Linked DNA regions of Saccharomyces cerevisiae S288C. Changing the gene in region 1 together with any one later gene gives a genetic interaction. Each region holds a gene or a part of one and is shown in the gene's direction. Other genes may lie near its edges.

The links.
Region 2: mutations in BRE5 (region 1) and RPA34 together harm fitness more than expected from each alone (negative genetic interaction), as found in Saccharomyces cerevisiae (5 studies listed by BioGRID).
Region 3: mutations in BRE5 (region 1) and FKS1 together harm fitness more than expected from each alone (negative genetic interaction), as found in Saccharomyces cerevisiae (5 studies listed by BioGRID, with this or other methods).
Region 4: mutations in BRE5 (region 1) and SOH1 together harm fitness more than expected from each alone (negative genetic interaction), as found in Saccharomyces cerevisiae (5 studies listed by BioGRID).

The regions. Positions count from the first base shown.
Region 1 is NC_001146.8:713,625-721,288, reverse strand, and holds BRE5 (Bre5p), read left to right. Parts: upstream 1-2,961; coding exon 2,962-4,509; downstream 4,510-7,664. Other genes in the region: putative GTPase NOG2, read left to right, coding at 1-169; CCR4-NOT core DEDD family RNase subunit POP2, read left to right, coding at 642-1,943; LYS9 (saccharopine dehydrogenase (NADP+, L-glutamate-forming)), read left to right, coding at 5,901-7,241; MSO1 (Mso1p), read left to right, coding at 7,634-7,664. UniProt on the Saccharomyces cerevisiae protein: Has a role in de-ubiquitination. In conjunction with UBP3, cleaves ubiquitin, leading to the subsequent mono-ubiquitination of sec23.
Region 2 is NC_001142.9:136,365-143,387, forward strand, and holds RPA34 (DNA-directed RNA polymerase I subunit RPA34), read left to right. Parts: upstream 1-4,072; coding exon 4,073-4,774; downstream 4,775-7,023. Other genes in the region: SNA3 (Sna3p), read right to left, coding at 8-409; SCF ubiquitin ligase complex subunit DAS1, read left to right, coding at 1,015-3,006; SMT1 (Smt1p), read right to left, coding at 5,055-6,203; IDS2 (Ids2p), read left to right, coding at 6,928-7,023. UniProt on the Saccharomyces cerevisiae protein: DNA-dependent RNA polymerases catalyze the transcription of DNA into RNA using the four ribonucleoside triphosphates as substrates. Component of RNA polymerase I (Pol I) which synthesizes ribosomal RNA precursors.
Region 3 is NC_001144.5:806,092-817,591, forward strand, and holds FKS1 (1,3-beta-D-glucan synthase), read left to right. Parts: upstream 1-3,905; coding exon 3,906-9,536; downstream 9,537-11,500. Other genes in the region: 60S ribosomal protein uL10 RPP0, read left to right, coding at 1-734; SPO77 (Spo77p), read left to right, coding at 1,294-2,727; YLR342W-A (uncharacterized protein), read left to right, coding at 9,719-9,892; GAS2 (1,3-beta-glucanosyltransferase), read left to right, coding at 10,003-11,500. UniProt on the Saccharomyces cerevisiae protein: Alternate catalytic subunit of the 1,3-beta-glucan synthase (GS) complex. Synthesizes 1,3-beta-glucan, a major structural component of the yeast cell wall. Involved in cell wall synthesis, maintenance and remodeling.
Region 4 is NC_001139.9:267,746-274,033, reverse strand, and holds SOH1 (mediator complex subunit SOH1), read left to right. Parts: upstream 1-3,258; coding exon 3,259-3,642; downstream 3,643-6,288. Other genes in the region: methylenetetrahydrofolate reductase (NAD(P)H) MET13, read right to left, coding at 1-1,514; SCS3 (Scs3p), read right to left, coding at 1,895-3,037; U2-type spliceosomal complex subunit CWC23, read left to right, coding at 3,890-4,741; mitochondrial 37S ribosomal protein mS29 RSM23, read left to right, coding at 4,959-6,288. UniProt on the Saccharomyces cerevisiae protein: Component of the Mediator complex, a coactivator involved in the regulated transcription of nearly all RNA polymerase II-dependent genes.

The DNA.
Region 1 (7,664 bases):
GGCAAGGAAACAAGGTAGATTACTGAAGGGTGGTGAGCCTGATGAGTCTGGTGTTTCTAAGCAAATATTGAATGATTTTAATAGAGGTAAAATCCCTTGGTTCGTCCTTCCACCTGAAAAGGAAGGGGAAGAAAAACCAAAGAAGAAAGAAGTTGAGAAGACGGCATAGAGGTAAAAACGGACAACCGGTGTATAATATTAATTTAAGATTACAAGTGATTTTTTTTTTCTTTTTTTTTGTTATTTTTTTTTTTGTTCTTATTATATGGCAGCAAACATTCTTGGGGAAACAACATAGATGGGTAATTATTTAGTTTATAAAGTATAATATTCCAATAGAAAACTTAAGTTCGGTAATGATATAGCCCTCTCTATAGTATAAGGTAAATCTCATTATACCAGTCATTCCAAACGGAATTCGGTCCTTACCCGCTGCTCGCTCTTTTTTCATCATTATGATATTTTCTTTATTGAGTCTTTTCAATTATAGTAGTAGAATGATAACTGACAAGAAAGATCAGTTTGAAGTTTATTAGCGTGTCTCGTTATCAGGGCTTCCTTGTTTTTCATACTGGAAATACTTCGAACGATTAGAAACAGGCAACTCAATTTTATACATTTATAAAGGGTCAAAAAGGATTATGCAATCTATGAATGTACAACCGAGGGTATTAGCTGTAGGAGGTGAGCAGTTTTTCTCTCAGAGGCAGGCTTCTGAACAACACCAGCAGCAAAACATGGGACCTCAGGTGTATTCGCCAAAGGTTAATAGAGCAAGAATGTTTCCTCAAGGGATGCCTGTAAATACAATTAATGGCTCTGTTAATCAGGAGATGAACAATGCCTATCTTTTGAAGCAGAAGAACGAGCCACTGTTAACTCAGCAACAACAGCAACAGCAACAACAACAGCAGCCATTTAATATAGGAACGCCTGTTTCGGTGGCTAGTTTGCCGCCCGGACTGAACGTTCTGCAGCAACAACAACAGCAGCAACAACAACAGCAGCAACAGCAGCAGGGAGTGGGACTCAATCGTCCCTTGGCTTCCCAGCTACCCAAGCATTTAACCAACCAAAGTATGCCACCGATCTTTTTACCACCCCCAAATTATCTTTTCGTTCGCGATGTCTGGAAGTCCAACCTTTACAGTGAATTCGCCGTTATAAGACAACTGGTCTCGCAGTATAATCATGTGTCAATCAGTACTGAGTTTGTGGGGACTTTGGCTAGGCCGATCGGCACTTTCAGGTCGAAGGTCGATTACCACTATCAGACAATGAGGGCCAACGTAGACTTCTTAAACCCAATACAACTTGGTCTTTCCTTGAGTGACGCCAACGGCAATAAGCCTGACAACGGTCCCTCAACGTGGCAGTTCAATTTTGAATTTGACCCAAAGAAGGAAATCATGTCCACAGAATCGTTAGAATTACTCAGAAAATCAGGTATCAACTTCGAAAAACACGAAAATTTAGGCATCGATGTATTTGAATTTTCGCAGCTTCTAATGGACTCTGGTTTAATGATGGATGATTCTGTTACTTGGATCACATACCATGCGGCATATGATCTAGGTTTCCTGATCAACATTCTAATGAATGACTCCATGCCCAACAACAAGGAGGATTTCGAGTGGTGGGTCCATCAATACATGCCCAATTTCTACGACTTAAACCTGGTGTATAAAATAATCCAGGAGTTCAAGAACCCTCAATTGCAACAATCTTCACAACAGCAACAGCAGCAGCAATATTCACTAACCACACTTGCCGATGAGTTAGGGCTACCAAGATTCTCTATATTTACTACTACAGGCGGCCAGAGTCTATTGATGCTTCTATCCTTCTGCCAATTGAGCAAGCTGTCTATGCATAAGTTCCCAAACGGTACGGATTTCGCCAAGTACCAAGGTGTCATATACGGTATTGATGGGGACCAATGATCATTTATGTACTATATGTATACACAATTTTAAAAAAAAAAGTTTAAAAGCAACATCAGCTTATGATTGGACATGTAGTAATACAGATTGGTTCTTCGATGCAATAAGCACTCTTCCACAGGAGATTGATGCGTTATTCCCGTATAGTTATCGGTCACGTGCGCTGTAGTTTGTTTAACCATTTATTTTTTCTTGGAAATTTTTTCGTCCAAAGCAGCGAAAAACATCAGGTGGCGATTAATGAAAGAATGACATATTGCAAGCAGCATAACCGTCCATTCCAGGGATAAGAGGAAGTACAAGCTTCTTTATTAATAGTTCTAGAGTGACTACATTATTTCAGATTAGGCAATATTACCTTTTCGTACCGTTTTTTTTTCCTGTCCACTGTTACTATTGTTACGGTTAAAAGTTCTATCGCAACCGGCGGACGTTAAACTAAGTCATTTGTTTTTTATCCCATTACTGTTTCAAAAAAGAGCAATTCATACCTAATTTGTACAAAACGAAGACTGTACAAGTGGTAGTACTTGACATAGGATATTTTGCTTGAGTATTAGAAGAATACGAAAAACTTCTTCAGTTTTCTAGTTACCGTTAGTACCAAAACTATTCTAGAGGAAGAATAAACAGTAAGATATTGCTTTAATTTATTTATATCACCTACCACAAGCTTTCGTTTTTTTACTCTGTTTAATTCTTCAAGTTGTGTTTTTTCCCTACATTTTAATTCATTTTTGCCCATTTAATTACATTTTTTTTTTTGTTTTATTATTTTCGTTCAAACCTCATTTTCTTTCAAATATTCAATTAGTCAATCATTTTACAGAGAATCTGTTGAAAACTTATTTTACTGATACATCTTTATTTTTCGTTGATTTTTAAAGAGAAAAAGATCACGAAGAATACTACAAAACCATCGCATTTTTTTTTTCAAGTGTGTTATAGTTTTATTACCTTGTCACTAATAGTTGCATTTGAAGTCATACCCTCGAATAGAAGTATCAAATAAAAGAAAATGGGTGTTACCGTTCAAGACATATGTTTTGCCTTTTTGCAAAACTACTACGAAAGAATGAGGACCGACCCTTCCAAATTGGCATATTTTTATGCAAGTACAGCCGAGTTGACGCATACTAATTATCAGTCCAAGTCAACAAACGAAAAAGATGACGTTCTTCCAACGGTGAAAGTTACTGGACGTGAAAACATTAATAAGTTTTTTTCTAGAAATGATGCCAAAGTTAGGAGCTTGAAACTAAAATTAGATACTATAGATTTCCAGTACACTGGGCACTTGCACAAAAGCATTCTGATCATGGCCACGGGTGAAATGTTTTGGACAGGAACTCCGGTCTATAAGTTTTGTCAAACATTTATCCTGCTACCATCCAGCAATGGGTCTACGTTTGACATTACCAATGATATAATCAGATTTATTTCCAATTCATTCAAGCCTTATGTCTTAACAGATGCTTCTTTGTCACAATCTAACGAGGAGAACTCTGTCAGTGCAGTTGAAGAAGATAAAATAAGGCATGAGTCCGGAGTTGAAAAAGAAAAAGAAAAAGAAAAATCACCAGAAATATCGAAACCAAAGGCCAAAAAGGAAACGGTCAAAGACACAACTGCGCCAACTGAATCGTCAACTCAGGAAAAACCAATTGTCGATCATAGTCAACCTCGGGCTATACCCGTCACTAAAGAGTCCAAGATTCACACCGAAACGGTACCATCTAGTACTAAGGGCAACCACAAACAAGATGAGGTCTCTACAGAAGAGTTAGGAAACGTTACTAAACTAAATGAAAAATCTCACAAAGCCGAAAAGAAAGCTGCACCAATCAAGACAAAGGAAGGCTCTGTTGAGGCCATAAATGCTGTTAATAACTCTTCTTTGCCCAACGGTAAAGAAGTTAGTGATGAAAAACCGGTACCTGGGGGCGTAAAGGAAGCTGAAACTGAAATTAAACCAATAGAGCCACAGGTTTCCGACGCCAAAGAATCCGGCAATAACGCTTCAACACCTTCATCTTCTCCAGAGCCCGTTGCGAATCCACCAAAGATGACATGGGCCTCAAAGTTGATGAATGAAAACTCCGACAGAATTAGCAAAAATAATACCACGGTTGAATACATCAGACCTGAAACACTACCCAAGAAACCGACTGAAAGAAAATTTGAAATGGGGAATCGGAGGGACAACGCTAGTGCTAACAGCAAAAATAAGAAAAAACCAGTATTCAGCACCGTTAACAAGGACGGCTTTTATCCAATCTACATTAGAGGTACAAATGGCTTAAGAGAAGAAAAATTGAGAAGTGCCTTAGAAAAAGAATTCGGTAAAGTTATGAGGATAACAGCTGCAGACAATTTTGCCGTCGTCGACTTTGAAACTCAAAAGAGCCAAATCGATGCTTTAGAGAAGAAGAAAAAGTCAATTGATGGTATTGAAGTATGCTTAGAAAGAAAAACAGTAAAGAAGCCCACGAGCAATAATCCTCCTGGCATATTTACTAATGGAACACGTTCTCATAGAAAGCAACCCCTAAAAAGAAAGGACTAGTCAACCACAAGCCTTTTAAAAAGAAAAATTGAAAAAATAATAAAAAAATTTGAAAAAGAAAAAAAAAAATCATAAAACCAATCTTAAGAAAAACCAAAAAAAAACCGCTAATTAAAATCTAAAAAATTGAAACAAGAAACTGTATGATTAGTAACTAATATACTGGCGCGGAAGGGAATGAATGCCATTTAAATGAGATGATTATGAAAATATAGCGTAGAGTAGATGCGCGAAACCGAGGCAGAAAAGAAAAAGAGACAAGTTAAAAATTGAATATAATGATATATGGGCACTTTCTTCTGTGCTAGGAAACGGAGGTAGAAGGGGATAGCAAGCTTGAGCAGTAATTAAAAAAAAAAAAAAGCATATTGATAGATAGCTCATTTGTAGTTAACTGACGACATTTATGTACATAATTAAAATAGAAGAAAATTTTCAAAAAAAATTCTCCTGGCGATTGTTAGGGACAAGAAAACAAGCCATGTTGTAACCAATAAATGTTACACGCCTTCAAAATAAAAAAAAGATGGACAAAAGAGATAAATCTTTTGCTTTTTCTTACTCTGTGTTGTTGTCAACAAAGACAACAAACGTGTGAATAATCTACGGGATTCGTTTACCATAGGCTACCTAGAAATGGCATAGTCATGGAGATAAAGTCCCATGATATTGTAAACTAAATTGAAAGTAAAATCAAGGAAAAAACAAGTGAGATTGCAATAAGCAATCAAGAGAGAAAAGTTTTTTGACTGATTTTCGACTTGCTTTTATACCGATTTTGAAAAGTCGCGGGGAAAAGCTGGCAATTATTTTTCATTTTTTTTCATTAGGGCTAGAAGTTGCTAAGAGCAAACAAACTGTTACTTGAAAGGTTTTCCCACGTTGGTAGCTACATATGCAAGAGTCTTATGTATCGTATCTAAGTGCCACGTAGGGGATTCCCATCATTTGATGATTTCCAAATATAATACCTGTAGAGAGCGGTGGAGCAAAAGTCAAATTTTAATCGCAACTGCAGACAAGTCAAGCTGAGGAAATTGTGGATGATCTCTTGTTTCTTTTGATATTCACCACAACAGAAGTGAAGAGTGTGATTGCGGTTACTACTGACCACGAAGCAATGCGTTTAGTAGTGAAAAGAATTACTCATACTCTGGAATCGAAATTCCGTTGGAAAAATTCGCTTTGTAGTGAAAAATAAAGATGTCAATAAAGGGTATTGAGAATTTCCAATGGAATTATCAGCAATAGATGATAGAAAGTAGCACAGAATTTGGCTTAATGGTATATAAACCGTAGGGTCCTGGTAAAATTACATGGGAAGGATCCTTAGGCAGTAGGGAAAACTTATCAGGACAATTGAGTTATATTAACGTATTATATATTTTAATATGGGAAAGAACGTTTTGTTGCTAGGATCTGGTTTTGTTGCACAACCTGTTATCGACACATTGGCTGCTAATGATGACATCAATGTCACTGTCGCATGTAGAACATTAGCCAATGCGCAAGCATTGGCCAAGCCCTCTGGATCCAAGGCTATTTCATTGGATGTTACCGATGACAGTGCCTTAGACAAAGTTCTGGCTGATAACGATGTTGTCATCTCTTTGATTCCATACACCTTCCATCCAAATGTGGTAAAGAGCGCCATCAGAACAAAGACCGATGTCGTCACTTCCTCTTACATCTCACCTGCCTTAAGAGAATTGGAACCAGAAATCGTAAAGGCAGGTATTACAGTTATGAACGAAATTGGGTTGGATCCAGGTATCGACCACTTGTATGCGGTCAAGACTATTGATGAAGTTCACAGAGCTGGTGGTAAGCTAAAGTCATTCTTGTCATACTGTGGTGGTTTACCAGCTCCTGAAGACTCTGATAATCCATTAGGATACAAATTTTCATGGTCCTCCAGAGGTGTGCTACTGGCTTTAAGAAACTCTGCTAAATACTGGAAAGACGGAAAGATTGAAACTGTTTCTTCCGAAGACTTAATGGCCACTGCTAAGCCTTACTTCATCTACCCAGGTTATGCATTCGTTTGCTACCCAAATAGAGACTCTACCCTTTTCAAGGATCTTTATCATATTCCAGAAGCCGAAACGGTCATTAGAGGTACTTTGAGATATCAAGGTTTCCCAGAATTTGTTAAGGCTTTAGTTGACATGGGTATGTTGAAGGATGATGCTAACGAAATCTTCAGCAAGCCAATTGCCTGGAACGAAGCACTAAAACAATATTTAGGTGCCAAGTCTACTTCTAAAGAAGATTTGATTGCTTCCATTGACTCAAAGGCTACTTGGAAAGATGATGAAGATAGAGAAAGAATCCTTTCCGGGTTTGCTTGGTTAGGCTTGTTCTCTGACGCAAAGATCACACCAAGAGGTAATGCTTTAGACACTCTATGTGCACGTTTAGAAGAACTAATGCAATATGAAGACAATGAAAGAGATATGGTTGTACTACAACACAAATTCGGTATTGAATGGGCTGATGGAACTACCGAAACAAGAACATCCACTTTAGTTGACTATGGTAAGGTTGGTGGTTACAGTTCTATGGCCGCTACTGTTGGTTATCCAGTTGCCATTGCAACGAAATTCGTCTTAGATGGTACAATCAAGGGACCAGGCTTACTAGCGCCATACTCACCAGAGATTAATGATCCAATCATGAAAGAACTAAAGGACAAGTACGGCATCTATCTAAAGGAAAAGACAGTGGCTTAAATAAGAAGAAATGTATCAAAAGGTTTATCATACGTAACAGTAACGGCACTTTATAAATCTTTCTTTAGTATTACTTATACTTTCATAAGGAAACGTAAAAAAAAAAAAACCGGAAAGAGGGACAAAATGGACTAGAACGTAATTGAGAGTGTAGTTCCTGAAGCTTGAACCGCTAGTAAGTCGTCTACCTTTAGTCTAAAAAGTATTGGCTATTGCATTTTATAGTCTTGCTTCTGATCAGAACGTATTAAATGAGCTCGTAAAGACTCTTAGGAGTTTTTCACTTTTAGAGATTAATACTATTAGGAAAGGTGCAAAAAAATAAAACGCCAACTAACTATTAGACGCTAGGCCCTAATACCAACTACCAGTATAACTAAGATTTCACGCATATGATGAGTCAAGTATCGCATTCCCAAGAAG
Region 2 (7,023 bases), on another chromosome or scaffold:
CCGATCACTAAGTACGGCCGGAAGAGAGCTGTTGTTTGTTGTCCATCAAGGGCACATCGGCACCGGCCTCATCGTCTTCATCATATGCTGGAGGCTGTGCTTGAGATTCCTCTGCAGGGTGAGCTTCCAGGTCACGGTCTACGGCGGGCGCAGTCGCATGTCTGCGTGAAAGATCGTACGAACGTTCACTACTCGTTTCATATACAACGTAGCAAGCGTGAATGATTGCTGGGAAGAATAACAGTAGGAAGAGAAGTAAGTTCAATAGTGTATCCCTGTTGAACATACCCTTACGCTTCCAGACGGCCACTGGGGGAATGAAAACCGCCAAAACCATTAACAACAAGTCGTCCTTGTTGATGGAATAGCTCATTCGATGGTCATGGTCATTAATATGGTCTCTGTCCATTTCTAAATTATATTTGGTTGTTTGCTTTCTGCTGGGTTTTTATTTTTTAACCTAGCCCCTTTCCTGCAGCTGGCTCATTCGTGCTGTACTCTCTTTCCTTTATATACTAGTGAGACCTTTTCCCCCGTTCCCAAAAAGAAAAAAAAAAAAAAAAAAAGAAAACGAGCCTTCATCACGTGCATTAAAGAAATAGTAATCCCAACGCACTCATCCGCTATATACATAGCGAAAAACTATATGCCCACTTCACAAATACGAGTTTGCATGTATAATATATAAGATTTATAAATGTTGTAGGGTGAATGTAAACGTTCAGTAATATACCGGTATATCTATCAAGATACGATCAATGCAACGCTTTACTGCACTGCACTACACCCCTTTTCCTCTACTTGTTTTTCTTAGTTCCTATTTCCCTCTCAAAATGCACCTGTTCACCAGAGTATTCTTTCTCATTGCAAGTATTACCCTACTTTATCGTCCCACACAAAGAGGAATATATATAGATTATAAGCGAATTGTAGATTTCGATGGAGATCTGATTTCCGTGCAAAATATCCAGGACGTCTATACACAGTGTTTACAACTCAGCTTATATTCATATCATGCCATTTCAAGATTATTTTCAGAAGAAAAAAGCAGCGTTCATTAACAGAAACAATAAAAGTAACGCAGATGCTTCAGCGCTACGAGATATTAACGATATTAACATAAATTTCGCCGCCAAGAGCAAAAACTACGTGTTCCCGCTAACAAAGCTCCCCGATGAGCTCATGCAAGAAGTATTCTCTCATTTGCCGCAACCAGACCGCTTGCAGCTTTGCCTTGTGAACAAAAGGTTGAATAAGATCGCTACCAAACTGCTTTATAGAAGAATATATTTGAACGACTCAAATGTAGTGAAGAGTGACTTCATGCATCTCGCAATTAATTGGACCCTACTGAACTTGCCGTCTTCGTTGAAAGAAGAGGAGTCCCGCGATATCGCCAACTGCAAATTGAAAAAACTTATAGAAACACTGCAAAATAATATTCACATTACTGAAGTCATCCAGTGGATAAGGATCAACTGGGATTTGGACTCTACCTTGCAAAGGTCCATTCTCAGCATCCTTTGCAATCAGGGCAAGTCCTTGCAAAGACTAGAAAACGTCACTGACCCGGCTTGTAACGATATCATCTCCAATGGTCACTTTTCCAGGAGCAACGTCTCAAGTTTCGACATGGCTCCTCCAAATTCATTGCCTGAGATGGTTGTTCCCGAAAATTACATTCCGAATCTCACCAAATATCTTTCACAGCGTATCTCTTCTCGGCTTTCTCATATGACTTTATTCATCGACCCTTTAAAACTGTTCAATTATCTTTACCCTTTAGATATCAAGTTACAAATCATCGATTTAAAATTGCATTGGAGGAGGGAGTTTTACAATAATGATTATTTTGTTAAAAAGATACGACCCGGCAATCCTCTGACTAAACTATCGGAGGTTTTTGACAAGAGGACATTGAAAATTCTTACCATCATTTCTTGGAATGACACTTTGTTAAAACGCGAGACAGAAATGCTGAAAGATTTTAAAGAATTTGAGAACCTGGAAGATTTGTCTTTGATTTCTATTAAGCAGGATGTTCATATCCTCGTAGATCTTTTTAGTTCGTTAACCAATTTGAAAAGACTAAAAATGGATTTCTTAGAGGAGTATGTACCTGAACCCACAAATCCTCACATATTTCTCTCCATTCTTTTAGCTTGCTCCAAATTGCAATTCATAGATCTGAGATACGACGGTCTTATCCCACAAATCATCAATATTCAAGAAAATAAGTTCCAACTAAATCAGCAATGCAACTGCACAAACTGTCAAATAGTATTCAGTGACATTCTGAAGGGCAAAATATTCATGTTCCCTGAAGACTACTATATTCACGATCTTCAAGACATTGCTGCAAAGGATATTTTTAAAATGATGAAATACCTATCTTTGTTACCATACTCTAAAGCTTGTGATGCTTATCCGAGCGTTAGAACACAACCAATGAATTTGACTAATTTTGTGACCAAGATGAACCGCAACCTTTTGGAATATAGAAATTCTAAATCCCAGTTGGTGCCCAAAATCGTTAATAACCCACATCAACACTCCACCGTGACTTCCACATCAACCGCTCATATGAGCGAGCCCGAAATGATAATAATCGATGACGATGATGATGATGATGAAATTAATGCGGCCATTCCTCCAAGTAGTGATGACACAGCAGCTACAATTTCCACTGACCTGGAACTTCCTCATGAATCATTGACCAAAAGAGATATTATTATGTGTTATCACGCTCTTATCCATCACTTCAAGTCGATTTACGTTACTTTTTTGAAAAGTTTTCCTCATTTGAGATTCTTGATGTTGAATGACATTCCCACAATAGTTATGGAGGAGAATAATGAACGTATTTTTGAACCCGTCTTTTATCATTATGATTATAAGAGTAATCTGTATGGATGGTCAAAGGAATCGAACAAGAATCTGGAGAACGACAGCAACAACAACAATAATAATTCTGATACCATTGCAAGAATAGCCACTGTTATGTAATCAACTCCCCTTCAAATATATATATTTAATAATATATATTCAACGCATTTTTTAAGCTAGCAGGATTCAGATTACTGGTCTACTTCATATTAAGGAAATACAAGATCCATTCGGATGCTAGAAAAAAATCAACCAACTATTCCAATGTTGGTAAGCTGGTTTGATAAAGTAAACACAAGATACTACAGTATACGATCACTCAGACATCCTAGGAAGGTCTCTAAAGAAGAGCGGTCACCGAGAGTACTAACGATGGGTTCGTAAGCGTACTCCTACCGTGGAAACTGCGAATGTTAAGGAACCAGTCTTTCATCACCGTGATCATAAATTATATATATTATCTGTCTCCTCAAATTACCCACATTTGATAATCTCATGAGAAAAAATAAAGGCTCAGATCTGCATGTGTTGTATAACACTGGCAAGAAAAGTTCCCGTTTGCAAACACAAATGATTAAAAAAAAATGTCACAGAAGCAACATCTTTTCAAAATCATTCGCATTAAGAGAACGAGATAAAATCCCTTGTCGTCATGGTCGAATCGGACGAGGAAAGAAGAGACACCATTATCATCAGGGCCAATCAATTCTTCTTTTCTGTTTAAAAAAGTGTCATGAAATTTCTCTTGAGATTATTCAAACTTGAATGTATCAAATGGGAAGGAGTGCAATGCTGAAGTCGAAAGAGGAGGATTACTCTCATTCTTACTACATTACAGTCACTGCTGTTTGTTCTTATGTAGGGGAATTCTTATTAACCGAATGTCGAGATTATTATAACCTTACAGAAGGTTGTCCAGTATTTATACATTTTGTTTCTGCCCATAAAGCTCTAGAAAATGAAAAAAAATTTTCTTTTCAGCCTGAGAAAGTTTTTTCTTAGGGCAGCGTGTGGTTATTGGGTGTTGCGAAACTTTTTTTCTCAAACATGAAATTAAAGAAATGAAAAATTTTATCGATGAGCATTGAATAGCTCAAGTTATAGGGTATTCGGTATCATATAGGTCTGTGATCGAGTGAGCAGTGAGCAGCTAGGATTCAATAAACGGGATTAACAAAAAATTGATATGTCCAAGCTTTCGAAAGATTACGTATCAGATTCAGACTCTGATGATGAAGTGATATCAAACGAGTTCAGCATACCAGATGGTTTCAAGAAATGTAAACATTTAAAGAATTTCCCTCTCAACGGTGATAACAAAAAAAAAGCGAAACAGCAACAGGTTTGGCTGATCAAATTCCCATCAAATGTGGACATCTCCAAGTTAAAATCTCTGCCTGTAGATTTTGAATCCTCTACAACCATGACAATTGATAAACACGATTATAAAATCATGGACGATACAGATATTGAGTCCTCGTTAACACAGGATAACCTCAGTAATATGACTTTATTGGTTCCTTCGGAAAGTAAGGAAAGTCTTAAAATTGCTAGCACTGCCAAGGATAATGCACCATTACAGTTTGACAAGGTATTTTCTGTCAGCGAAACCGCTAAAATCCCAGCTATTGATTACAGTAAGGTAAGAGTTCCACGTAAAGATGTTCCAAAAGTAGAAGGCTTGAAGTTGGAGCATTTTGCTACTGGTTATGATGCCGAAGATTTCCATGTGGCTGAGGAAGTTAAAGAAAATAAGAAAGAACCAAAGAAGCGTTCACATCACGACGATGAAGAGGAGTCTAGTGAAAAGAAGAAAAAGAAGAAGGAGAAGAGGGAGAAGAGGGAGAAGAAGGATAAAAAGGATAAGAAAAAGAAACATAGAGATTGAATGCGTATGTGCGTATAACTGTGTGTAACATAAGATAAAAATGTGCATTTGTGTGTGTGTCAGTGATTTTTTTTCGCATTTACATATATAAAAAGGCATTTCTGCTGGTGGAAACTGATGAATGTTTTGTGTGGGCAATATTACTATTTAGTTTTGCATACTTAAATTTGTGTATACGATTAGAAATTTCAATATTTCGGGTGTAACACAAACGATTATTTTTTTCTTGATTTAGAGTCGCCATATGAATATTATTAACCTGCTTTTTCTGTGTTCTCTCTTATATGAGGTTCAATGGTAAGTGTGTTTTTAACTCGTGTTCTTCTTCATTAATCATCTTTAATACACTTCCAAGGTTGACCTGTAAATCTTCAAAGATTAGTTTATCCTGGCACGTCCGATGGATACTCCGTATAGAAATATCTAAGGATCTAATAAATTTGTATTGGTCCATTATTGGTGTGGACGGTTTCTTCGGTGACTCCAGCATTATTTTGCTTTGTATACTCAATTTTACGATATCAATTAACCATTTTTTGACCAATTTTGGTTCCTCTTCAACGCATTTCGAAATAGCCCTTAAAATACGAACAAGCAGGATTTGATTTTGGGTGAAAGAGAAACCATCATCTTTATTGTGGTTCAGGACCGTTAAATCAGGCAATATATGTGACTTTTCATACAAAGATTGATAAATTAAAATCAAATCGTTATTCCTCCAATTTGCGCCTAAAAGCTTAATGTAATGAATTATATTTTGACGAATATTATCTTCAGATACGTTAGAAGTTAGACATCTCCACAAAAGACGTCGCAGAGGAAACGGTAGATCACTGTAATCGGACAACCAACGAGGCTCGTAGTCTTTTCTTATTTGCACATCGTGCGTTCTATAATACAACAGGATGGATATCACTACTCTTTGGTATTCGTCAAACAAGGCTCTGTGCTCCCATACTTTATCGAATTTGTTGAACTTTTTTGAGAGCAAAATTTCTGTTATTTGACGCACATTAGTTAACTTGCCCACATACTGCAAAAGCAGCAGCCTATCATATAGATCCTCGGACGATGAACCTTGTAGTTCCTTCGAAGAAGAACTTTTGTTATCCGTTGCCTGGGTAACTATTGAGTTCAAATGTGAGAAAAGCACATCGTAATGAACAGCTACTTTTTGTTTCTTGGACTCTACTTCCGGTAGATTTGAATTCAGTATTCTCAGGATGTTCTCTATATGGTGATTTTGAAGATTATTTTCTTTAGTGCGTGAACGATTCAATAAGGAACCTTGTTCATTAACTTCAGAAGATTCAAACAAAGGCCCCAACAACTTCACTGGACCTTTGGTCAAGTATTTTAGAGTTGATTTCAGCTCATCATCTTTCGACTTCAATAGTCGGGTTGCTAACTGAGAAAAAGTCCTCCTCATAATCAATGATTCCTGTAGATAAAATTGACAAAAGGCAGCGCACGCACTATTTCCCTTTAGCCAGCACAATTACTTATGCGTGTTGTTGTTTAGGGTTCGTAAATCTATATTGAAACGCAATTTATATTCTACTGTTTTCTTTTCGCACAAACAGAAAACCGCTGTCACATTATTGTATGACTGTTGATATCGGACCATCATTTTCGACACTTTCATTGAGGGGAAAAATGTTGGTGTCATTACGCTCTCTACTCATGTCTTTATGTAAGTATACGTTTACAAGATTATTTATATGCTATGACACTACGGGTTCTCAACTTGCAGCAAAACAAGAAGCAGTTAGCGGCACATTTCGGTGCAAAAACTTATCAGCAGTTTTTGCTGCCTCTCTTTCACTAATCTAACTTACTATGTACGGCCGATAGCAGTATATTGTGCTTTTTACTGTCTTTTATTACTTTTGCTGTTGCTCTTGCTCTTGACTGTTCCCATCTTTGCTTCGGAAATTTCCCCATGCGCTGCAGGACAGAAACACAAGCATGATTGAAGCAATCGAATTGTGCAGTCGAGTTCAAAATTGGCAGAGAAGAAAAGAGGTGGAAATTGCAACACGAATCACCGCTTTACCACGCAAAGATATCTGGATTCTTGATATCAATCTTTTTCAAATATATTTTATTTATTTATCAAAAGGGCAAGAAAGAAAAAACGATTGATAATAAAAATGGATAATCAGCAGGAAAGTATATCTGAAGATATCACCGGTGATCTGGCCGCTGCTGTGAGAAAGTCATGGTCCGAGTCACAAGATAATCCATTA
Region 3 (11,500 bases), on another chromosome or scaffold:
ACTTGCCAGACTTCGAAAAGTTGTTGCCTTTTGTCAAAGGTAACGTTGGTTTCGTTTTCACTAACGAACCATTGACTGAAATCAAGAACGTTATTGTCTCTAACAGAGTTGCTGCTCCAGCCAGAGCTGGTGCCGTTGCTCCAGAAGACATCTGGGTTAGAGCCGTCAACACTGGTATGGAACCAGGTAAGACTTCTTTCTTCCAAGCTTTGGGTGTCCCAACCAAGATTGCCAGAGGTACCATTGAAATTGTTTCTGATGTCAAGGTCGTTGACGCCGGTAACAAGGTCGGTCAATCTGAAGCTTCCTTGTTGAACTTGTTGAACATCTCTCCATTCACTTTCGGTTTGACTGTTGTTCAAGTTTACGACAACGGTCAAGTGTTCCCATCTTCTATCTTGGATATCACCGATGAAGAATTGGTTTCTCACTTCGTTTCCGCTGTCAGCACCATTGCTTCTATCTCTTTGGCTATTGGTTACCCAACCTTGCCATCTGTCGGTCACACTTTGATCAACAACTACAAGGACTTGTTAGCTGTTGCCATTGCTGCTTCCTACCACTACCCTGAAATTGAAGATTTGGTTGACAGAATTGAAAACCCAGAAAAGTACGCTGCTGCTGCTCCAGCTGCTACCTCCGCTGCTTCCGGTGACGCTGCTCCAGCTGAAGAAGCTGCTGCTGAAGAAGAAGAAGAATCTGATGACGACATGGGTTTCGGTTTATTCGATTAAGAAGTGCAACATGAATTATTAAGTTAATTTCATATATACTATTTTATAATTAAATAACATTAATCCTCATTGATTCATTTTATTCATGATAATGTACTGTCCGGTTCCTTGCGCTAGCCTGAGTTAGTCTCCGAATACCTGGCGATTTTCATATATTCTGAGCGGCTCTGGACACCTAACTGGATAAAAATACTTCCACTTAATGTAGTTTGGTTTTCTAGTTCATACGGACTATTTCAAAGTTCATGATTTGATGAGAGAAAGTAGCTATACTATCTTCCCAATTTACGCTTGTCTCTGAACAAAGGTTTTTATCCTTTATATGCTTATTGAAATACTGAGAATACCAAAAGTTGTCTTTTTCTCTACTATCGCTTGATTCTTTCAAGACGTCGGATATAAGAAATGTCACAAAATCAAAAATAGCTGCGAGGAAATAATGAAGAAAAGTAAAAGACGAAACTACTGCTTCGATGAGAGGTGAGCAGAAGCTCCCATAAAAAAAAAAACCTATCTTGCAGTATTTCTATGTTCCTTAAGAGATCAATAGAAGTAGAATATGTTTCGAAGGGGAGATAATTCAAATTTTAACGTACAAAATAGCTTCTTTCTTCCTTTGGAATACGAATATACCGTAAAAGATAATGTACCTTCAAAAAAAAAGAGTAGTATAGGTTTTTTTCCATTAGATGATTCTTTATTCACATCAAAAAACAATTCAGGGCACCATAAAAGCGAACAGCTCCATCGCGGTAATGCAGAAACTATCAGAAGCCAGTTTGGAACTGACGCAGTTCCGATAAGGATCGATGAGAAAGAAGGAAAGTGGGATAGAATTCAAGATGATAATTCTTCTAATTTAAACTACCAAATTAACAACAGTAATGACCCAGCTTCGAGTGGTAAATATACCCAGAGTATTGACTGTAACCATATAGCGGAGTCAAAATTTTCAAAAAAAAATGGAAACATTGATAGTCTTCGTTCAAACTCAGCAACTTTTATGCTAAATACTGCAGATGAAGACGTGATAGAATTTAGTTTTGACGATAATGTCCCTTATGCTGAGTTATTATCTGGTGCCACCCTTGAAAAATGTTCGTTGACTCTAAATGAAATAAACAAAAAACTATTCAATACGCTCTATGACTTTCGAGTAAGCAAAGATAATCCCGAAGAAAATTTGGTAGAACTAATACTTCCGAACTGCGTGGTGTTATTAAACTTTTTTGAAGACATTGAACTCTTGGCCGACTCTTCTGATGAGGCTTTCGAAAAATCTACTTTCATTAACACAATTGAGTTCATTGTGCACGATATTTGGGTCGAAACGTTGATAAAGAACATAAACTTATTACAAATGTTTGATGCAGATTTGAAATGCTACAATGACAAGTACATAATTTGCAAGCTAAAGGGTCAGTATCCCTCCACAAATATAGTGGACATAATGTGCCGTTTGAAGCATTTTTCCAATTCTATTTTGGAAACTTTCAAATTCGGAATCGAGCTAAAAGAACAAGATCAATGCCACAATAGAAACACTATTATCAACTACGTTCTTTTCAGTAGAGTATTTTCAACGATTGTTTTAGAGATTCAAAAATGCTTTATCTTGATCGTTAAGTTCATGTATTCTGTCAATTTTTTAGAAAAATTTTCCGATGAAGTATTTTTGTCATTTATTGAAATTCTCATAAAAATTGTCTTTGAGCACCAGATTCCGCAGTTATTTTTGGGAATTGATGAAATTATTCAACTCTGGTTAAAGAACAATGAAGGAAAACGGCAACAACTCTTGAGCGCTTGGTGCAACGGAACTGTTCAAGATATGAAGCAAAGCCAACAAAGAGAGTCCTCAAACGCAGAATCTGAATCAATCACTTCAAGTACAGAAGAGGACGAAGAAGGCCTCCAATTCAATAAATGGGATGTGATTGAACCATTTATTGATAATATCAAGGCTTTGAATCAATCAAAATCCCATATGTGACGCAGCGATAAAACCGCGGCATGCAAACATCTACACAATTAGCAAGGGCAATCCATATTTTGTCTTTTCGCGCCCTGGAAAGGCCTAAGTAATGTCGTAAACGCATTCTATCTGTACTTCAACTCTCCTCTGTGCATTGGTTTGTGCAAATCACATTTTACGATACTGCCAGATTTATGCAAAAAGAGAAAACCAAGGGACCAGAACAAAGCAAAATTACGATAAACTTCGAATTCCTTCGTGCTTGACTAAGACAAAGGGATGGACGTAGCGATTTTTAGCGGGCCAAGAACTGGTTCCGAAAAAGCACAGGTACACCGAACCCTCAGCTAAGGAGGGACAGCACCGATGCGGAAGGACAAACTTTCTTTTTGCCTATCACAGTATCTTATCGAGCTAACTATTTTCGACACACATGAAAAAGCAGAAATATTAACGAAAAAGAAAAGAAAGACCATGTCATGTACGGGCAATCAGAATCTGTAACAAGCGCCATTTTTTTTTCTGTATCGGGCCCTCCTTACTGCTCTCCTTCCGTGTAACGCGTTATGAAACTCTAATCCTACTATCGGCGACTCTCTCGAAATTTTTCTTAACGCGTCCTTGTACTGCGTCTAACGCTTTTGCCACTTGGATTTCTATTATAGGAAATAGTCTCACTTACTGGGCGACGAATTTTCGCGTTTTGATGAAGCACAGGAAGAATTTCTTTTTTTTTTGGCTTCTTCTGGTTCCGTTTTTTACGCGCACAAATCTAAAAAAAGAAATAATTATAACCTAGTCTCGAAAATTTTCATCGATCCATTCGTTCCTTTTTTTCGATTTTTTCAGATCAAAATTCTTGTTTCTTTCTTTGTCTTAGTTTATATTAAAAGATATTTTGATTTTACTCCTGAACTATTTATTCTTTCTAAGAAGGCCAGAACACTACAGCTGTTTTAACCGACTACGAAGTTCTCCATTCTCGAACACTAGCCTTCATTTACCAAACAGGAACTAGCGTATATCATTAGTCCTTATTCGAAAAGAGATTGGTAGATATTTATTGTAGTTTGTGAGAAGGAGAAAATACTGTCATTGGACTGATAGTTAGAGGACATTAACCTCTCTTACGTTCGCTCAAAAAAATTAAAATAAGCAAGTAGCTGAAATCAAGTCTTTCATACAACGGTCAGACCATGAACACTGATCAACAACCTTATCAGGGCCAAACGGACTATACCCAGGGACCAGGTAACGGGCAAAGTCAGGAACAAGACTATGACCAATATGGCCAGCCTTTGTATCCTTCACAAGCTGATGGTTACTACGATCCAAATGTCGCTGCTGGTACTGAAGCTGATATGTATGGTCAACAACCACCAAACGAGTCTTACGACCAAGACTACACAAACGGTGAATACTATGGTCAACCGCCAAATATGGCTGCTCAAGACGGTGAAAACTTCTCGGATTTTAGCAGTTACGGCCCTCCTGGAACACCTGGATATGATAGCTATGGTGGTCAGTATACCGCTTCTCAAATGAGTTATGGAGAACCAAATTCGTCGGGTACCTCGACTCCAATTTACGGTAATTATGACCCAAATGCTATCGCTATGGCTTTGCCAAATGAACCTTATCCCGCTTGGACTGCTGACTCTCAATCTCCCGTTTCGATCGAGCAAATCGAAGATATCTTTATTGATTTGACCAACAGACTCGGGTTCCAAAGAGACTCCATGAGAAATATGTTTGATCATTTTATGGTTCTCTTGGACTCTAGGTCCTCGAGAATGTCTCCTGATCAAGCTTTACTATCTTTACATGCCGACTACATTGGTGGCGATACTGCTAACTATAAAAAATGGTATTTTGCTGCTCAGTTAGATATGGATGATGAAATTGGTTTTAGAAATATGAGTCTTGGAAAACTCTCAAGGAAGGCAAGAAAAGCTAAGAAGAAAAACAAGAAAGCAATGGAAGAGGCCAATCCCGAAGACACTGAAGAAACTTTAAACAAAATTGAAGGCGACAACTCCCTAGAGGCTGCTGATTTTAGATGGAAGGCCAAGATGAACCAGTTGTCTCCCCTGGAAAGAGTTCGTCATATCGCCTTATATCTGTTATGTTGGGGTGAAGCTAATCAAGTCAGATTCACTGCTGAATGTTTATGTTTTATCTACAAGTGTGCTCTTGACTACTTGGATTCCCCTCTTTGCCAACAACGCCAAGAACCTATGCCAGAAGGTGATTTCTTGAATAGAGTCATTACGCCAATTTATCATTTCATCAGAAATCAAGTTTATGAAATTGTTGATGGTCGTTTTGTCAAGCGTGAAAGAGATCATAACAAAATTGTCGGTTATGATGATTTAAACCAATTGTTCTGGTATCCAGAAGGTATTGCAAAGATTGTTCTTGAAGATGGAACAAAATTGATAGAACTCCCATTGGAAGAACGTTATTTAAGATTAGGCGATGTCGTCTGGGATGATGTATTCTTCAAAACATATAAAGAGACCCGTACTTGGTTACATTTGGTCACCAACTTCAACCGTATTTGGGTTATGCATATCTCCATTTTTTGGATGTACTTTGCATATAATTCACCAACATTTTACACTCATAACTATCAACAATTGGTCGACAACCAACCTTTGGCTGCTTACAAGTGGGCATCTTGCGCATTAGGTGGTACTGTCGCAAGTTTGATTCAAATTGTCGCTACTTTGTGTGAATGGTCATTCGTTCCAAGAAAATGGGCTGGTGCTCAACATCTATCTCGTAGATTCTGGTTTTTATGCATCATCTTTGGTATTAATTTGGGTCCTATTATTTTTGTTTTTGCTTACGACAAAGATACAGTCTACTCCACTGCTGCACACGTTGTTGCTGCTGTTATGTTCTTTGTTGCGGTTGCTACCATCATATTCTTCTCCATTATGCCATTGGGGGGGTTGTTTACGTCATATATGAAAAAATCTACAAGGCGTTATGTTGCATCTCAAACATTCACTGCTGCATTTGCCCCTCTACATGGGTTAGATAGATGGATGTCCTATTTAGTTTGGGTTACTGTTTTTGCTGCCAAATATTCAGAATCGTACTACTTTTTAGTTTTATCTTTGAGAGATCCAATTAGAATTTTGTCCACCACTGCAATGAGGTGTACAGGTGAATACTGGTGGGGTGCGGTACTTTGTAAAGTGCAACCCAAGATTGTCTTAGGTTTGGTTATCGCTACCGACTTCATTCTTTTCTTCTTGGATACCTACTTATGGTACATTATTGTGAATACCATTTTCTCTGTTGGGAAATCTTTCTATTTAGGTATTTCTATCTTAACACCATGGAGAAATATCTTCACAAGATTGCCAAAAAGAATATACTCCAAGATTTTGGCTACTACTGATATGGAAATTAAATACAAACCAAAGGTTTTGATTTCTCAAGTATGGAATGCCATCATTATTTCAATGTACAGAGAACATCTCTTAGCCATCGACCATGTACAAAAATTACTATATCATCAAGTTCCATCTGAAATCGAAGGTAAAAGAACTTTGAGAGCTCCTACCTTCTTTGTTTCTCAAGATGACAATAATTTTGAGACTGAATTTTTCCCTAGGGATTCAGAGGCTGAGCGTCGTATTTCTTTCTTTGCTCAATCTTTGTCTACTCCAATTCCCGAACCACTTCCAGTTGATAACATGCCAACGTTCACAGTATTGACTCCTCACTACGCGGAAAGAATTCTGCTGTCATTAAGAGAAATTATTCGTGAAGATGACCAATTTTCTAGAGTTACTCTTTTAGAATATCTAAAACAATTACATCCCGTTGAATGGGAATGTTTTGTTAAGGATACTAAGATTTTGGCTGAAGAAACCGCTGCCTATGAAGGAAATGAAAATGAAGCTGAAAAGGAAGATGCTTTGAAATCTCAAATCGATGATTTGCCATTTTATTGTATTGGTTTTAAATCTGCTGCTCCAGAATATACACTTCGTACGAGAATTTGGGCTTCTTTGAGGTCGCAGACTCTATATCGTACCATTTCAGGGTTCATGAATTATTCAAGAGCTATCAAATTACTGTATCGTGTGGAAAATCCTGAAATTGTTCAAATGTTTGGTGGTAATGCTGAAGGCTTAGAAAGAGAGCTAGAAAAGATGGCAAGAAGAAAGTTTAAATTTTTGGTCTCTATGCAGAGATTGGCTAAATTCAAACCACATGAACTGGAAAATGCTGAGTTTTTGTTGAGAGCTTACCCAGACTTACAAATTGCCTACTTGGATGAAGAGCCACCTTTGACTGAAGGTGAGGAGCCAAGAATCTATTCCGCTTTGATTGATGGACATTGTGAAATTCTAGATAATGGTCGTAGACGTCCCAAGTTTAGAGTTCAATTATCTGGTAACCCAATTCTTGGTGACGGTAAATCTGATAACCAAAACCATGCTTTGATTTTTTACAGAGGTGAATACATTCAATTAATTGATGCCAACCAAGATAACTACTTGGAAGAATGTCTGAAGATTAGATCTGTATTGGCTGAATTTGAGGAATTGAACGTTGAACAAGTTAATCCATATGCTCCCGGTTTAAGGTATGAGGAGCAAACAACTAATCATCCTGTTGCTATTGTTGGTGCCAGAGAATACATTTTCTCTGAAAACTCTGGTGTGCTGGGTGATGTGGCCGCTGGTAAAGAACAAACTTTTGGTACATTATTTGCGCGTACTTTATCTCAAATTGGTGGTAAATTGCATTATGGTCATCCGGATTTCATTAATGCTACGTTTATGACCACTAGAGGTGGTGTTTCCAAAGCACAAAAGGGTTTGCATTTAAACGAAGATATTTATGCTGGTATGAATGCTATGCTTCGTGGTGGTCGTATCAAGCATTGTGAGTATTATCAATGTGGTAAAGGTAGAGATTTGGGTTTCGGTACAATTCTAAATTTCACTACTAAGATTGGTGCTGGTATGGGTGAACAAATGTTATCTCGTGAATATTATTATCTGGGTACCCAATTACCAGTGGACCGTTTCCTAACATTCTATTATGCCCATCCTGGTTTCCATTTGAACAACTTGTTCATTCAATTATCTTTGCAAATGTTTATGTTGACTTTGGTGAATTTATCTTCCTTGGCCCATGAATCTATTATGTGTATTTACGATAGGAACAAACCAAAAACAGATGTTTTGGTTCCAATTGGGTGTTACAACTTCCAACCTGCGGTTGATTGGGTGAGACGTTATACATTGTCTATTTTCATTGTTTTCTGGATTGCCTTCGTTCCTATTGTTGTTCAAGAACTAATTGAACGTGGTCTATGGAAAGCCACCCAAAGATTTTTCTGCCACCTATTATCATTATCCCCTATGTTCGAAGTGTTTGCGGGCCAAATCTACTCTTCTGCGTTATTAAGTGATTTAGCAATTGGTGGTGCTCGTTATATATCCACCGGTCGTGGTTTTGCAACTTCTCGTATACCATTTTCAATTTTGTATTCAAGATTTGCAGGATCTGCTATCTACATGGGTGCAAGATCAATGTTAATGTTGCTGTTCGGTACTGTCGCACATTGGCAAGCTCCACTACTGTGGTTTTGGGCCTCTCTATCTTCATTAATTTTTGCGCCTTTCGTTTTCAATCCACATCAGTTTGCTTGGGAAGATTTCTTTTTGGATTACAGGGATTATATCAGATGGTTATCAAGAGGTAATAATCAATATCATAGAAACTCGTGGATTGGTTACGTGAGGATGTCTAGGGCACGTATTACTGGGTTTAAACGTAAACTGGTTGGCGATGAATCTGAGAAAGCTGCTGGTGACGCAAGCAGGGCTCATAGAACCAATTTGATCATGGCTGAAATCATACCCTGTGCAATTTATGCAGCTGGTTGTTTTATTGCCTTCACGTTTATTAATGCTCAAACCGGTGTCAAGACTACTGATGATGATAGGGTGAATTCTGTTTTACGTATCATCATTTGTACCTTGGCGCCAATCGCCGTTAACCTCGGTGTTCTATTCTTCTGTATGGGTATGTCATGCTGCTCTGGTCCCTTATTTGGTATGTGTTGTAAGAAGACAGGTTCTGTAATGGCTGGAATTGCCCACGGTGTTGCTGTTATTGTCCACATTGCCTTTTTCATTGTCATGTGGGTTTTGGAGAGCTTCAACTTTGTTAGAATGTTAATCGGAGTCGTTACTTGTATCCAATGTCAAAGACTCATTTTTCATTGCATGACAGCGTTAATGTTGACTCGTGAATTTAAAAACGATCATGCCAATACAGCCTTCTGGACTGGTAAGTGGTATGGTAAAGGTATGGGTTACATGGCTTGGACCCAGCCAAGTAGAGAATTAACCGCCAAGGTAATTGAGCTTTCAGAATTTGCAGCTGATTTTGTTCTAGGTCATGTGATTTTAATCTGTCAACTGCCACTCATTATAATCCCAAAAATAGATAAATTCCACTCGATTATGCTATTCTGGCTAAAGCCCTCTCGTCAAATTCGTCCCCCAATTTACTCTCTGAAGCAAACTCGTTTGCGTAAGCGTATGGTCAAGAAGTACTGCTCTTTGTACTTTTTAGTATTGGCTATTTTTGCAGGATGCATTATTGGTCCTGCTGTAGCCTCTGCTAAGATCCACAAACACATTGGAGATTCATTGGATGGCGTTGTTCACAATCTATTCCAACCAATAAATACAACCAATAATGACACTGGTTCCCAAATGTCAACTTATCAAAGTCACTACTATACTCATACGCCATCATTAAAGACCTGGTCAACTATAAAATAATACAATCAATACTTGCTTGAACGCTTGATTTTACTGATATTCTATCCAAAAGCAAGTAGACCAGAAACTCTCAAGATGTTGCAAATACCGTTCGATGTTTTTGGTTTAGATTGTTTTAATGTTGATGCTTTTTTACTTATTTTTGGAAGCGTCTTTTTAATTTAGTTTTATATTATAGGTATATGAATGTGTTTATGCCAATAAGGGTTTTTTTGTACAGTTATGTGATTATAAACAGTCTTTTGTCTAGTTTTTTTCACCAGTATCGGCCTCTATTTATAAAAAACGGAGCAGCTTTCGGTGTCAGTAATTCTGAAAAAATTTGTGTCACTCTGATTGTAAATGAATTAATTTAGCTAGATAGTTGCGAGCCCCAACGAGAAGATTGTCAGACAAAGACAACATTCAACAACCTACATCCGTTACTATTCGTTAACTCGAGGTACTTGAAACTTTTCAGTTAAGTATGAACAAGAAACAAAATTTTTACGCAGCCATTATTGTGGCTATTTTTCTTTGTTTGCAATTGTCTCATGGCTCTTCAGGTGTCAGCTTTGAAAAAACCCCTGCTATTAAAATTGTAGGAAACAAATTCTTTGACTCTGAGAGTGGGGAACAGTTCTTCATCAAGGGCATTGCTTACCAATTGCAGAGAAGTGAAGAGGAGCTTAGCAATGCAAATGGGGCTTTTGAGACAAGTTATATTGATGCCTTAGCGGACCCAAAAATATGCTTAAGAGATATTCCATTTTTGAAAATGCTAGGAGTGAACACACTGCGTGTTTATGCAATAGATCCGACAAAATCACATGATATATGTATGGAAGCTCTATCTGCCGAAGGAATGTACGTCCTATTAGATCTTTCAGAGCCTGATATTTCAATAAATAGAGAAAATCCATCTTGGGATGTACATATTTTTGAAAGGTACAAATCTGTAATTGATGCAATGTCATCCTTTCCAAATTTGTTGGGGTATTTTGCAGGGAATGAAGTGACAAATGACCATACAAATACCTTTGCATCACCCTTCGTGAAGGCCGCAATCCGAGATGCCAAGGAGTATATTTCGCATTCTAATCATAGAAAAATCCCTGTCGGCTATTCAACTAATGACGATGCTATGACAAGAGACAATTTAGCAAGGTACTTCGTTTGCGGAGACGTTAAAGCTGATTTCTATGGGATAAATATGTACGAATGGTGTGGGTATTCCACGTATGGTACTAGTGGATATAGGGAAAGAACGAAAGAATTTGAAGGTTATCCAATTCCCGTGTTTTTTTCGGAATTCGGCTGCAATCTTGTAAGACCAAGGCCATTCACTGAAGTTAGTGCCCTTTATGGCAATAAAATGTCCTCTGTTTGGTCTGGTGGCCTTGCATACATGTATTTTGAAGAAGAAAATGAATACGGAGTTGTTAAGATAAATGATAATGATGGAGTGGATATTCTTCCTGATTTCAAGAATTTGAAGAAAGAATTTGCAAAGGCAGATCCTAAAGGCATTACAGAGGAAGAATACTTAACGGCAAAAGAACCAACTGAAGTAGAAAGTGTTGAATGTCCACATATTGCTGTCGGAGTTTGGGAGGCAAACGAAAAACTACCTGAAACACCTGATAGAAGCAAGTGCGCCTGTTTGGATGAGATTTTGCCCTGTGAAATAGTCCCTTTTGGTGCTGAATCTGGAAAATATGAAGAATATTTTAGTTATTTGTGCTCTAAGGTTGACTGTTCCGATATTCTTGCAAATGGCAAAACCGGTGAGTACGGTGAATTCTCAGATTGTTCTGTCGAACAAAAACTTTCCCTTCAGCTGAGTAAATTGTATTGCAAAATCGGCGCAAATGATCGCCATTGTCCTCTAAATGATAAGAACGTTTACTTCAACTTAGAAAGCCTGCAGCCCCTTACAAGCGAGTCGATCTGTAAGAATGTTTTTGATTCTATAAGGAACATCA
Region 4 (6,288 bases), on another chromosome or scaffold:
AGGTCACCTTGAGAGTCGATGGCGAAGTAGGTCAAGAACTCATTGTTTTTCAAGGTGTCAATCAACTTGGGCAACTTAGTCTTGGGCAACATAAATTCCAAATATTGCTTCTGGTAAACGTAACCATCCTTGGGTCCCCAACCATGAATTTTGTCATTGGACCTAATGCCGTTGACTTGAGGTTGAGAGTTTATAGTGATGATAGAATGCTGGTTCAGCTCAATCAAGTGTGCTTTGATTGGATTTATTTCATCATTGATGGGGATATCACTCCAAGGTAAACACTTCAAGTTTCCATTCAAGTAGTTGATGACCAAGAAGGCGACGTCGTTGATGGAAGTAGGGGTGGACCATAATTCGAGACATTTGTTCGCTGATTGCCTGATCAAGTCTGAACCACACAGATCCAAGTCACCGAACGCAGGAGAAGACGAATCACCGAATCTACCGTTGGGGAATTCGTCCACGGCCCATTGAGAGGTTCTTGCGACATAGGAGTAAGGTCTTCTCTTCCAGAAGATAGGTCTGACTTCCTCGTTTTTACGCTTTGGATTCAAAGATTTTCTCCATGGCAACACGGCCAATGGATGTGCATTGAACTCTGATTCCGTAGGTAGAATGTTCAATCTTTCCAGAATCATGAGAGGCGCTTTTTCCAAGTTCATGGTGTAGATGTGCAAGTGAGAAACGTAACCACTGTCGAGCAATTTTTGACACATTTCCACGATCAAGTTAGTTCCGATATCACGGACCAACTCGTCATCGTCCTTGATAGGATCCAATCGGGACGAGAAATGTTGAGGGATGGAGATTTGGCCCCATTGGGCCCTTCTCAAGAAGGCCGCGTAGGTAGTGATCGGCATGATCCCGGGAATAATGGGCACGTCCATGCCCGCAGCTCTAACTTGGGAACACCAGTTGATGAAATTATCAACATCGTAAAACATCTGAGTGATGATGAAGTCGCCGCCGGCGTCGATCTTCTGCTTCAAATACTCGAGATCAAGCTTCACGTCTTTGTTAGGCAACTCCGGATGGCACTCCGGGTAGCCGGCAACGCCGATAGCGAAATGGTCACCGTACTTGGACTTGATATACTTAATCAAGTCCTTGGCATACTGGAAGCCACCTTCAACGGGAGTCCAGTTTTCTGCGTCCCTAGGAGGATCTCCTCTCAGCGCTAGGATGTTCTGGCAACCGGAGTGATAAGCGTTTTCTAAAGCGTCGTCAATCATCGAAATGGGCATATTGGTGCAGGTAAGGTGCATGCACGTTTCCAAACCAAGCACAGACTGCGCTGTCGCAACCAAGTCCGTGGACAGATGTGACAACCGTCCACCGCCTGCATTCCAGGTGATGTCAATAAATTGGGGCAAAGAAGCCTCGTACATCCGGTCCATCCGGTCATACAGGTTCTGTACACCTTGTGTAGTCTTCGGGACGAAGTACTCGAATGAGTAAGTGGGCTTGCCAGAGGTCTGTCTATGTTGCTCTAATTTTTCTGTGATCTTCATATTGCGATGTGGTTGTAGTAGTAACTGTGGTGGTTCTGTTTGCTGATAACTTTAGTTTAGGGAGACTATTTCAATCAAGGGGAGCAAGGCAAACTACACGAAACACAAGCTGTGGCATTAGCTTTTCCACGAGCGAAATATCACCTTTTTTTTTCTACTTTTCGTATATATGATATATATACGTATATATATATATACATACAAACATATATATATATATATATATATCAAATTTTGGAAAAATTTGAGTCAAAGTTGCATATGCAATATTCACAGTCTATAATCCGAGGGATAGAATGACTAAACGACGGCCCGCTACCGGGAGAAAAGTCGCTGTTATTTTTTCAGTCGCTCGTGGTCTATCGCCAACTTTTCCTGAGTCATACTGGACGTAGCGCGGCTGCGTCGCGAGCGTAGACAAGGCCTGTCACTATGTACGCAGCTAGCAATCCAGACATGTGCTCACGTACGGTGTGGAAACGGGACGCCACCGCAGTCAACAGCAGCTGCCATAACCACGTGACCAATAGCGTCAGCAGTATGATTACTGGGTGGTCGCATGCTATGCATCGCGTCAAACGGAGCAGGGCGGCCGCGCACGTGACAGGCGGCTCGACTATCGCACGCCACAAACGGGCGCCACAGGTCATTGAGCCGCCGCCACACCGCCGCCACGTCCATAGCGGTCCAGTGTCGAAAAGGCGGGTCACCAATCGTACAAGCTGCCATTTCTGCGCGTACAAGTGAGCCAGTGCACGACGCCCAAACACACGTAGCTCACCTAGAAGAAACATGCACATCAAGGTGGCCAAGAACACGTGCCCGGATGGATCGTGTCCTCCAGCCCAATGGCCTCCAAAACGTCTGCACTGTGCCGAGGTGGTTAACGGACCTTGCCACCTGTGCATCTGGTCATGAATAAAAGTATTGATGGCAGCGGCAGCGCTGGCCGTTACGTTTTTTGGGGTTTTCGGTTGCGTCGCCTGCAGGGCGCCCTGGATCGACCCTATGGAGCGGTCCCAGAGTTGTTGCTGACGGTGTTCTTGGTGGTGTCCGTGCAAAGTGAGGACATTGTGAATGAGCGCCAACGCGCGATTAGTCCGGGTGACAGAACCCTGGAAGTCTTCGTTCACGTGACCTGCATCATCGAAGACGTCATAGTGACAATGGCCACCCGTATATACGAATACCAAGTCCATGATGGGGCCTACGCCAAACCATATACCTTGCGTGAATACGTACCACCACACTGTCAGTATGGCATACCTTTTGAATGACTGGACAATGTGTCTTCGGTCTCTGCCGGTTGCCCCCGGCACCGCACGGTAGCGTATAATACACCACCATCCGACCAAGGAAGTCCAAAACCACCCTTTCTTTACCAACATAGCATTTACCAGACCATCCTTATTCAGGGTTGCTTGCAGCGCCGCACCGTAGCCATACGCGTTCATGAGATATCCTACCAGTACCGTCAACGGGCACACCAGTAGGTGTATAGCATTAAACCATTTGCTAGACATTGTTGTAATATGCCGTGCTTTATAGCTGGTTTCAGTGGAGTTTTAGGCGTTTCCCCTTTGGCTTTTTTCGAACAGTTCGTTTTGTATTTTATTTCACGGTTTTCCCGCTAACGTGTTCTTAAAGGATGAAAAAGAAAAAGAAATGCAGGAAAAATGAGGCAAAGTAAGCCAAAACTTATAGCACTCATAAGACGGCAAAGTTCCCCCAAGCTCCACCCAGGATGTCAAGCACTAATGGAAACGCACCAGCGACACCTTCCTCGGATCAAAATCCTCTCCCCACGAGGTTCGAAGTGGAGCTCGAATTTATCCAGTCACTGGCAAACATCCAATACGTAACGTACTTACTCACTCAACAGCAGATCTGGAAGTCTCCTAACTTCAAAAACTACTTGAAATACCTGGAGTACTGGTGCAACCCCCCTTATTCGCAATGCATTGTGTATCCAAACTGTCTCTTCATTTTAAAGCTGTTGAACGGGTTCATGGAGTCGGCGATCGTTAATGAAGATGGCCTGCTGGAAGGGCTAGACGAGCTGCCCAAGATCATTCAATTACAAGGCCCGCAATGGATGAATGAAATGGTAGAAAGATGGGCCAACTGAACACACCTAATTATAACTACATTCGCACGCATTCATATATCTATTTTATACACTCATGAATATATATACACACACACACATATATATATCACATATATACATATATATATGTATATATATATGCAAGCCGCATTACTTTGTATTTTCTTTCCTTTGTTTTCCTTGCATATTATCTCGCAAGACATTAGAAGATGAAAGCAAAATCAAAAAGCAAGTCCATCGCCGTACTACAAGCCTCGCCACGACTATGCCAGGACACGAATTGGAAGACGTAATAAATCAACGTTTGAACCTATATGATGTATTAGAATTACCGACCCCCCTGGACGTCCATACCATCTACGATGATTTGCCCCAAATTAAACGCAAATACAGGACCCTTGCCCTGAAGTATCATCCTGACAAACACCCGGACAATCCATCAATTATACACAAATTCCACTTATTATCGACCGCAACTAATATCCTCACCAATGCAGACGTGAGACCCCATTACGACCGCTGGTTAATTGAGTTCCTACGGAAAACAAACGACATTGAAAGAAATAAACTTATACAAAAGCTGGAAGAATCTGAATCGAGTACGATACCCACCACCACACCACATCCTGATTTATTGCAAATCCAACGCCACGGCGAGCTACTCAGGAAACTAAAACATTTCAACTTGCCCTATGGTGACTGGAAACATCTCAACACACAAGACCAAGAAAATGCTTCGCAACATCCGTATTACGATTGCTCTACTTTGAGAATTGTCCTTGACAACTTCCTGCAATCAAATAATAAATCAAACTGCTTATCTCATTTGCGCAATCAAGTATTCATCACGCTAAGTGCTAATGAAATCTACGACATCTACTTCTCTGAAAGAAACAACTACTCGAAGGATGATTCAATCATCATATATACTGTATTCGATACTCCCATCACAGCGCAGCACGTATTCCGAAACTGGTCAAGTGGGAACCTCATACCCACGGTCAAGGATATTTCGCCCTTGATCCCGCTACATTACTACTCTGATTTTAATTTGGAGACGGAACTGAATGACGATATTGCAAGACTGGTCTCTAATGAACCTATCCTACTCGACTAGCTTGCACATATGTATGCCTGTTTTTCTTTATCCTATGGAACACTATATTTTCCGGGGCTTTCTTACAAAACGGAAGAAAAAGAAAAGGAAACTCAGCAAGTACTATGTACAAGAATATATATATATGTATATTGTATATATACATCAACTTCTATACTTCGAGGGAAAACATTAACAAGAGAACAAGTACAAGCCACGTGGTATACGTATCAGAATAATGCTACGTATGTCAACTTCAAGATTCATTGGGCAAAGGCTGTTCACTACGGCACGATCTCTCCAGGCTGCTAAACCGGCACCAAAAGGTAAAACTCAAGGATTTTCCAAAAAATCATCTTCAGTCTCATCTTACTCATCTGCAAAGAGAGTTACTCCTGGTTCATTGTATAAAAACTGGACAAACACCACGCACACCGCTCAATTACAACAGACCGCCGTTCCTTTGGCATTACCTATCTTCAACTTTGATGATATTTCCAAGACTTTGAATAAAGTAGTATCATATTCCAACAAACAGTACAAATCCCTTCACCATTTGGGTTCCTTCAAGAAGTCGCAGTTCAATGAACTTTTTCAAAAACCGGTTTGTCTAGTTCGTGAAGATGCAACGAATAGCTTTTTGAAGAAACTAGTATCTCATCCTGTTAAAAAATTTATAATCACTGGAGAGCCAGGGGTCGGGAAAACTGTACTACTCTCTCAAGCGCATGCATATGCAGTTGATTCCAAGCAAATCATTATTAACATATCATATCCTGAATTATTCCTGAACGGTAGGAATGACTTTTCTTATGATGATGATTTAAAGCTTTTCATCCAACCGATGTATTTGAAAAAGCTTATAAGGAAAATATTGAAGGCAAATGACCCTGCATTGTTAAAATCTATTGAGCTATCCAAAGACTACAAGTTCTCGAATGCAAACCCAAAGAATGCCTCTGTAAAACCATTTGTCACATTAAACAAAACGAAAAATACAGTTTTAGATTTGTTATCCGTAATGACCCACCCGCATAATCGTGGAAAACTAATGAAAGCCATTATTGATGAGTTATCTGTCCAATCCAAGGTGCCAATCATGTTTACAGTGGATAATTTTTCAAAAGTGTTAACTACTGCATATTCTGCGTACAGAAATACAGAGAATAAACAAATATATTCCCTGGATTTACAAATGGGTAAATTGATGATGGACATTATTTCAGGAGAGACGAAATTTGCTAATGGTGAGAGTTCTACTATATTAGCTATATCCGGCGTTGACAGGACAAACAAAACTTTACCCGTGGCATTGGGCAAGATCCCAGTAGACCCCTATGTTACTAGATATCACTATGAACCGAAGTTCGTAGAATTGCTCCAAAAAGGTAATGTCACCGAATTCGAGGTTCCTAAACTGAACAAACAGGAAGTTAACGAACTAATCGATTACTACAAACAATCAAATGTTTTATTAGACAAGGATATCACAGGAAAAAAGTGGGAGAACTTGATTGACGAAAAATATTTCCTAAGTGGTAACGGTAACCCAAGAGAATTATTGAAAA